2 linked regions of the Mus musculus genome follow. The main gene of each other region encodes a partner of the protein of the gene in region 2 in a complex. Links are inferred from orthologs where the notes say so. Each region holds a gene or a part of one and is shown on either strand. Other genes may lie near its edges. The genes, in order: Fam155a and Nalcn.

Region 1 (3,821 bases), on a different chromosome or scaffold from region 2:
AGCTCACATCAGCAGAGCACTCAGCAAGGGTGCTCTCCCCGTGCTCAGCAAGGGTGCTCTCCCCGTGCTCACTCAGCAAGGGTGCTCTCCCCGTGCTCAGCAAGGGTGCACTCCCCGTGCTCAGCAAGGGTGCTCTCCCCACTAATGACCTGTCAGGATGAGACTGTTCTTAGCTTTGACCCTGTGTTCTCTGTCTGCCTAAACTACATAACACTCATGGGTTTCTGGACACCAGAGCTGGTGTTGGCATCCTGCCCATCTCGATTCTTTGCCAAAAAAAAAATAAAGGAGATATTGTTATCAGAAAATATAAAAATCACCTGTCCTGGCCTCTTTTGCCCCAGTGTGTACATGCGTGATCCAGGCTGACATCTCCTTTTGTCCTCAATACTGATTAAGATACGGTGACAACATTCATCACAAAATAGGAAGGAGTCATTGATAAAATTCCCCCTAGACTCTGCAGCTATCCTCAGGAGACATTCACAGAGAGTCTCGGTTGCAGCATAGCTGTGTGATAGAGACATCGACCCTTGTTTAAATCACATTGGGAGGCTTTTCTGGGCTCAGGCCACATAAAAATACCTTTGGGCAGTCTCGGGGTTTTGGAAGCAACATATTGATGGAGATCAAAGGAGGGCCCCACCCAGCCTGTACCTGTGCAGATGAAGCTGGAGAGGCCTCCGTAAATGACTTCGTCATTGTCGGGCAATATGAATGGACACCTTGTCTGCACCTCCAAGCAATATTGCTTGCAAGGAATGGTCTTTCTGCAGTTAAACTGTGTGACTTCAAAATACTGGGAGCAGAGCCAGGCTTTGTAGACAATCTGAAAAACAAAGAGAAAAAAAAATCAGAGCTGTGGAGGGATGCTACACACGTTTTTTTTTAATAAGGATTAGGCTGGGTGGAGAGAGCATGCTTCAGTTTTACATGGGTCGGAAACAACTGGGGTAGAGCTTTTTACAGCTCCACATGGTAAGAATGCCGCTGTGAGTACCTGCAGTGAGGGTATTGAATACAAGCCTATGGAGAATGGAAAAGGTATTTAATTTAAAGAACTCTTGGAAAACAGTGCATTTGAACCAACTCTAAAGTTTTTAGGATCCAGTGATATATAAAGTAAAGAACACAATAAGCCCCGCTGATAATGTAACTCACTGCAGTGGGGCAGAGACTCAGTTGCTCTTTCCCACCTCTCATACCTCGATTGGGCACTAGGTGGCGCGCGAAGCGCTTTGCAAGGACTCCTGCAAGGTGCAAAAGCATGTGGGCTGTTACAGCTTGCTTTGCCCACAGCAGACAGCAACAAGAACTGGGTGTTTGCATCTGTGACTCACACGGACTGCACTGAAAACCTCACTGAAAACGGAAACACTCAGTACAAATCAGACATAATCTGCTCCATTTGATTAGAAGAATGGTCGTTCCTACCCCAGAATCCTGCAGTTGACCTTTGACCCAGTGCAATCTATCTTCGCTAAGTATTTATGGACTCTACTGACTGTGTGGCTTTCACTGATCTCTTTCTCTGTGTGATTACTGGGGAAGTAAGCACTGAAAATTCGCCCCTTCCCCCTACCGTGAAGTAAACTAAGTCTGAATTTAAACAAAGCAGCATAGATCTGTGAAATTCAGTTTCTTTCCAGGTCTTTAGCAACAGTGGATTCTGCTAGTTTCTAGGAGTAAATAATACTATTTAGTTAATGTTTCATCCATTATACTCTACCTTGAAAAATGGATGGCTTAGCAATAAATGTACATGAATAAAATATAAACTAGGATGAAAATGAAACGTATTTAACAAATTTATGTATTTTCCTAGCAAATTAAATTTTTTTTCAGCCCCGATTCTTGGCATTTAGAATATATTGACTGATCACATATTTCTTGAGGACAGTAAGTACGGAAATAAATAGAAAGTTTTAGAATTCAAAGCCCAAAATCCGTAGATTTCCCGACTTTTGTTTTTAGTGGTTATGTTGTGCTTAATCAGAAAATGCTTTCAAAAACATACGGCCGTTAACAGGGTTTTCAGACAACTGTAAACAACTTGACTCGGGTACCTGACCAAAGCCCATTTATTATGAGCTAATTGTTCTGGGATTACCTCACAATTTCTTATTAGTTTCACAAAAATCACGTTTTATTCTTTGAAGAAAAGGTCTCTAAAGGCAGCAAAGATGAATATGAAATTTATTAATAACTATAGATGGCCAACGTAGCGTTTCTTGCAGTCAGTAATGATTTACCATCATCCTGATCACTTTATGCCTGTGTGCATGGAGTTTCGAATGAATCCTAACATAACAATGACCAAGGAGGCTGCTGAGAAACCTTGTGTTTCAGCTGGCAAGTCCAAGTATGCCATGGGCTCCCAGGGTGGTAGGTGTCCTGTGGACCAGCTAACACCACAGAATAAGGGGCAGAAACATCAACTTCACAAGAAGGAACAGAGAAGTGGTGTCTAAACTGCACTTGGGGTAAAGCATCAGTGGGGGACGCTTTTTGATCAACCTATACCAGTGTGACAAAATCCGACAGGGGATACAGCATTTATGATGTCAGTGAAGCCATGGTGTCTGGGTGCCCTAAGCGCTTTGTGATTTCTGGCTTTAATTACCTTTGCTAGGTGTTAGAAGCAAGTGGGCATTTTCGTATGTACAGGCTAGTGATAAAACTGCATGCTAGTGGAAGCCCTCACTGAATATTTACGGGGCTCTGTAGTCTTTAGACTACAATGGTCTGCTCTATTTTAAAGACTCTTTCTGCACATACAGAAAAAGCTCCAGGGATTCCATGGGCACCACTCTGTCTCCAGTCCTGCCCGACTGGCTATTCACTTTTTTGTTTTTTTAAGACAGAGTGCCAGGCTGGCCTTGAAATCACTATGTCGTCAAGGATGACCATATTGCCCCCATCTCTCTGGAATTGCAGTATGGCACATATCTAGTTATGCTGTGCTAGGGATAGAACCCAGGGCCTTGTTCACGTTAGGCAAGCATGCCACCAACTGAACTACACCCTCAGGCAGCTTTATATCCTTTCAGATCCGTAAGTCTGAGTGTCAGGTTATGACCTGTCTACATCCCCACTCCACCCACAGACCATGGGGTGGCACTGAGTGATGCATTCTGAGATATGGACATATCCTTTGCACCCTTTCCCTTGCCATGATCCAGCTGAGATGCACCCATTTTTATTCTTGCTCCATCCCATTCCCATTGCAGATATTTGTTCCTGCCTCAAGAAGTGAGCGAGCGGCCAAAGCAGAGTGAGTTTTTTTTTTCTCATCACCAGGCAGAAGAGAGAGAGAGAGAGAGAGAGAGAGAGACAGAGAGAGAGAGAGAAGAGAGAGCGCTCGCGCGCGCGAGAGCCCTCCAGCCACCACAGTGAGCCAGCACGCATGCAGCCAGCTTCCCTGCCCTTCAGTTCTGTGGTGAACGTGAATGTTTAGATAGCCATAGAAAGCTCCCATCTGAGAAATACATTTCTGTTCCCAGGCATCTGTTGAGAATCAGCAGCGGGAACCACGAGGAGGAAACAAAATAAGGGAGGACAGAGAAGAAATATTTATCATAATGTGAGAGATTAAAGCAGGGGAATGGTTTTATATAAGGAAGGAATTATCTTTTCCCTGTGCGGACATGTTTGCAATAAAACAGACAACACAAGCACCGAGGACATTTGCTAGAACATTCCAGCATTAACCGAAAAAAGATTTGCATGGGAGGAAAGGCAATTTTGTAAGTCTGCAAAAGATGACTTGAAAAGTAAAATGAAACAAACAAACAGACAAACAGCTCAAAACAAATGCTAGC
Region 2 (3,821 bases):
ATTCCTCTTAAATGTCCCCAACAGGTAGAGAAATGATTGATGTACCTACCTGAGGGCAGACGCCATTGCCCAATCTTCCTTTGGGGTTTTCCAGTATCTGCTGCATCCTGTCGGCTTCCTCCTCTGTCTGACAGAGTAGGGCTTAAGAGCTGCTGCTGACTGCTTGTCTACATGGAAGAAGTATTAGTCATTGTGGGTCTTTCTCTTAAAAATACACATATTTAATTGGTCACAAATATTTGTACAAATTTGTGGGGTTTTGAAAAATGATCGTATAGAACAGTTTGGGCTCTTTCTTAATTTTCCTCCCTCACAGCTCTCTAGGTAGTATCTTTCTCGACCATTCCATTAGAGTGTCCATCCTTCACTTCCTTCAAGCCTGAGGATTTCACTGATTCCTTAAACTTGGCTGGAACATTAGGCAAGGAGAATGGCACTATAGGGAGAGACAGGATGTCAGGGACAGGATGTTTTGTGGACATGGACTTTTGCCAGCTTAAAGGTCAGAACCAGGAGCTCCAGAAGATGCATCTTGGTGGACAGAGCTCTATGATATGCCCTGGGGAAGCCCAAACCCAGGACTAGCTGATGCTGAGGATTGCAAGGCAGTTTGCCCCCATCTCTAATTCAACTCTCTCTTAACCATAGTCATCATATTTTTTAGATTTACTTTATTTGTGTGTGTGTGTGTGTGTGTGTGTGTGTACAAAAGTGTGTGCCATACATGTACAGTTACCCACAAGGACCAGAAGAGGGTATTGGATGCCATGTATCTAGAGCTATGGGTGGTTGTGAGCTGTCAGATGTGGGTGCTGGTAATGGCACTTGGGTCCTCTGGAATAGCTGGTGTCTCTTCAACCCCTCACTGTCCTGGTTTTTACACCATATTAGGCGTTTCCCTCCACTTGATTTTTGGACTACCTTTTTGAGAGTTCTGGAATCATTACATCCCCTCAATCATTGGTCCTGTCTCAGTGTCTGCCTAAACCTGATCTGGCTCTTCCTTGTAAAGCACTTCCAGATATCCTGGGGTCAGACCTGTAGCAGGATGACTGTAGATCTTTTGGCCTCTTTTGCTGAATTCTCCCATAGAAGTCTATAGAAGGAGGCAAGTGATTCCTGGTTTCTTGCTGGGAGCATCAAACCACAGAAAACTGTACCATGGCACAACAGGTCCTTTTGCAGCCTCTACTGGGCCATGGAGTCCTACTCTTCATTTTGTTCCTTTCCCCTGAGTATGTTTCTTTGCATGATGAACTATGTGCAGCTGGAGGCACTGCACAGTGTGTTGGATGGACTCCATGTGATTAGCATCAAATCACCATTGCAGCCACATAAAGGGGCAGGTCTTCCCTGCCAGCTGCTTCTCATAAGCACAGGGCTCTCCCAGATGCTGGAAATTCTGGCTTTTTGTTTGTTTGTTGAGTAGGCATTTAGAATAACTGAAAATGAACCTAGCTGTGTTTTAATAGACAGAAGATCCTCAAATAACATTTCTGAGTTCTATATGCTCCTCACTGCCCAACTAAGAAAAGATAAATGGATAAATGCATTCATTTGGTCCATCACAGAATGTTGAAAGCCAAGTGCCTACATTTCCCTAAGTTTACTAAAAATTTCTATGATGTACTGAGGGGGGAATATTTAGGCCTTCATGATAATCATGATTTTTTAAAGCATATAACATTTATATGCTCAAGTTCAGCTTTTATGATAACATTAAACTTTTAGATAAAAGAAACAAGCAAAAACCACTCAGGATGTGAACCATTTCTAGTATATGAATTCTGTAGTTTGAATCTTGACTGGCCCATAAGTTGAAGGCTTTGTTTCCAGCCTAAGACACTAAATGGGTGAAGACTGTCCTTAAAGAGGATATTGAGGACCCATCCGCTCTTGCTCCCTGGCCATCACACAGAAATAAACACCAAACACTGACACCATTGCATACACTAGCAAGATTTTGCTGAAAGGACCCTGATATAGCTGTCTCTTGTGATGCTATCCTTGGGCCTAGCAAACACAGAAGTGGATGCTCACAGTCAGCTATTGGATGAATCACAGGGCCCCCAATGGAGGAGCTAGAGAAAGTACCCAAGGAGCTAAAGGGGTCTGCAACCCTATAGGTGGAACAACAATATGAACTAAACCAGTACCCCCCCCCCCACCCCCGTGTCTCTAGCTGCATATGTATCAGAAGATGGCCTAGTCAGCCATCAGTGGAAAGAGAGGCCCATTGGTCTTGCAAACTTTATATGCCTCAGTACAGGGGAACGCCAGGGCCAAGAAGTGGAAGTGGGGGGGGGGAGTGGGGGGAAGGGCATAGGGGACTTTTGGGATAGCATTAGAAATGTAAATGAAGAAAATACCTAAAAAAAGAAATAAAAAATTTATGAATATACACATTCTCATTATTTTTGGTTCTTTTGCAACAAAAGGTCATGTGAGAAATTCTGTTACTTGATTTGAAGTGTCTCTGTGACCAGTATCAACTCCCACAGAACATCATTGGGGTAAGGGTGACTTATCCTACCTCAGGTTGCATACTGTGGTCCTGGCTGTTGGCGTTGCTGTCCTCACTTGGCTGGGTGGTCTCAATGCTGGGAGGATTCAGGAATAGCCGGCTCCGCTCTTGCTCCTGGCTCTCTCTCAGGCTGTGGATGATGCTGCACGACTGCTGTTGTTTCTATGGAAAATTCTGTGCTTTCATAAGGGGGAAAATGTGCCCACCTCTTTACCCCATTCCCACCAAGTCACAGTTTCTTCTTCCCTCTTTGAAGACCTATGATTTTGCTGTCCTCTTAGGAAATTCCAAGTAAGGTTCTTGAACTAGTTTTGAGGATATTAGATTGATATACAAGTCTTAAAGATTAGAAGCATCCCCATCTTTTTCATTTGTATAACATTTGGATTTTTTTATGCTCATCCATACTAGTTTATATATTATTCAAAACTTACTAATGTGGGTGTTTTATTTTTTTTTCTTTTATTTACTCTAGGCTCATTTAATCAATGCAAGTCCCCTCCCACTCTACACTTTCCTGAAAACCCTAAGCACCAGAAGGTCTTGAGTAGATGAGGAGGAAACTTTGAACTCTTTGTTCTGAACTTTGTAGGCCAGACTGGTAGGTCAGTTCAAAAGCAGCCTCTTTTTCCTGGCCAGGGCCTTCTTAACATCTGATCAGAACATTTGTGATTAATGGAACAAGAGTTAAAATGGCCATGTTTTGATTAGGTTGCAGTGAGAAGCTAACTTTGCTCTAGGAGGCTGGGCTGGAGTATTTAGTTTCTTTGGGAACTTTTTTCTCTAACAGAAATGCTTATTTTTGTAGTGGGTGTTGTTGTTTTGAAGACCAGGATCAAACAAATCTTACATAACATTAATTGCATTGCAGGAAGTATATACTGAGTTATGTGCCTTTCTTCTCTGTACGTGAAGTATGAGTCACAAGCATTTATAAATGTTAATTACCTAATAGAAGTACTCACTGGAAACACAGTATATGCTAATGGAGTACATATTCATTAATATGTGAGAGCCTCATACAAACTTACAGTTCAGAAGGCAGCAGGCACATCATTAAAATTCCATGAGAGGTAGTCTTTAGAGACCCAACAATATGATAAACCATATGTTAAAACTTTTAGTAGCAATTTAAAAGTGGCTTTGTAAACTTCATCTCTGTAGATATTTTTGGGATTTCATACCATTGAGTTTAATAAGTGGAGATTATAAATATTTTAATAACCATAAATTGCTTTTTAATCCTTCATTTTTATACAATTTGATTCAATTGGAATGTGTGGTGGAGCCTGCTGAG

Evidence for each region.
Region 1: the proteins of Nalcn (region 2) and Fam155a are in contact, whole or in part, in a cryo-EM structure (PDB 7CM3), measured with the Homo sapiens proteins. The link is inferred for Mus musculus from reciprocal best matches to the Homo sapiens genes NALCN and NALF1. Residues at the interface, in NP_001337678.1 of Homo sapiens: Cys207, Val209, Asn220, Leu222, Ala223, Ile224, Pro225, Thr227, Tyr237, Pro240, Phe243, Tyr406, Glu409, Phe909, Ala1044, Lys1045, Asn1047, Pro1049, Arg1054, Ile1060, Arg1062, Ile1063, Asn1064, Val1065, Ser1066, Lys1069, Lys1080, Lys1081, Gly1083, Phe1084; in NP_001073865.1 of Homo sapiens: Lys278, Glu281, Phe282, Val285, His287, Lys288, Tyr289, Leu290, Gln291, Glu294, Tyr295, Ser296, Val297, Lys298, Ser299, Tyr308, Trp311, Leu312, Gln315, Leu335, Gln338, Thr339, Cys341, Phe343, Ile344, Leu345, Pro346, Asp347, Asn348, Asp349.

Annotation. Positions count from the first base shown.
Region 1 is NC_000074.6:9,232,277-9,236,097, forward strand, and holds part of Fam155a (transmembrane protein FAM155A), read right to left. Parts: intron 830-3,821; coding exon 658-829; intron 1-657. UniProt on the Homo sapiens protein: Auxillary component of the NALCN sodium channel complex, a channel that regulates the resting membrane potential and controls neuronal excitability.
Region 2 is NC_000080.6:123,281,051-123,284,871, forward strand, and holds part of Nalcn (sodium leak channel non-selective protein), read right to left. Parts: intron 2,687-3,821; coding exon 2,534-2,686; intron 168-2,533; coding exon 50-167; intron 1-49. UniProt on the Homo sapiens protein: Voltage-gated ion channel responsible for the resting Na(+) permeability that controls neuronal excitability. NALCN channel functions as a multi-protein complex, which consists at least of NALCN, NALF1, UNC79 and UNC80.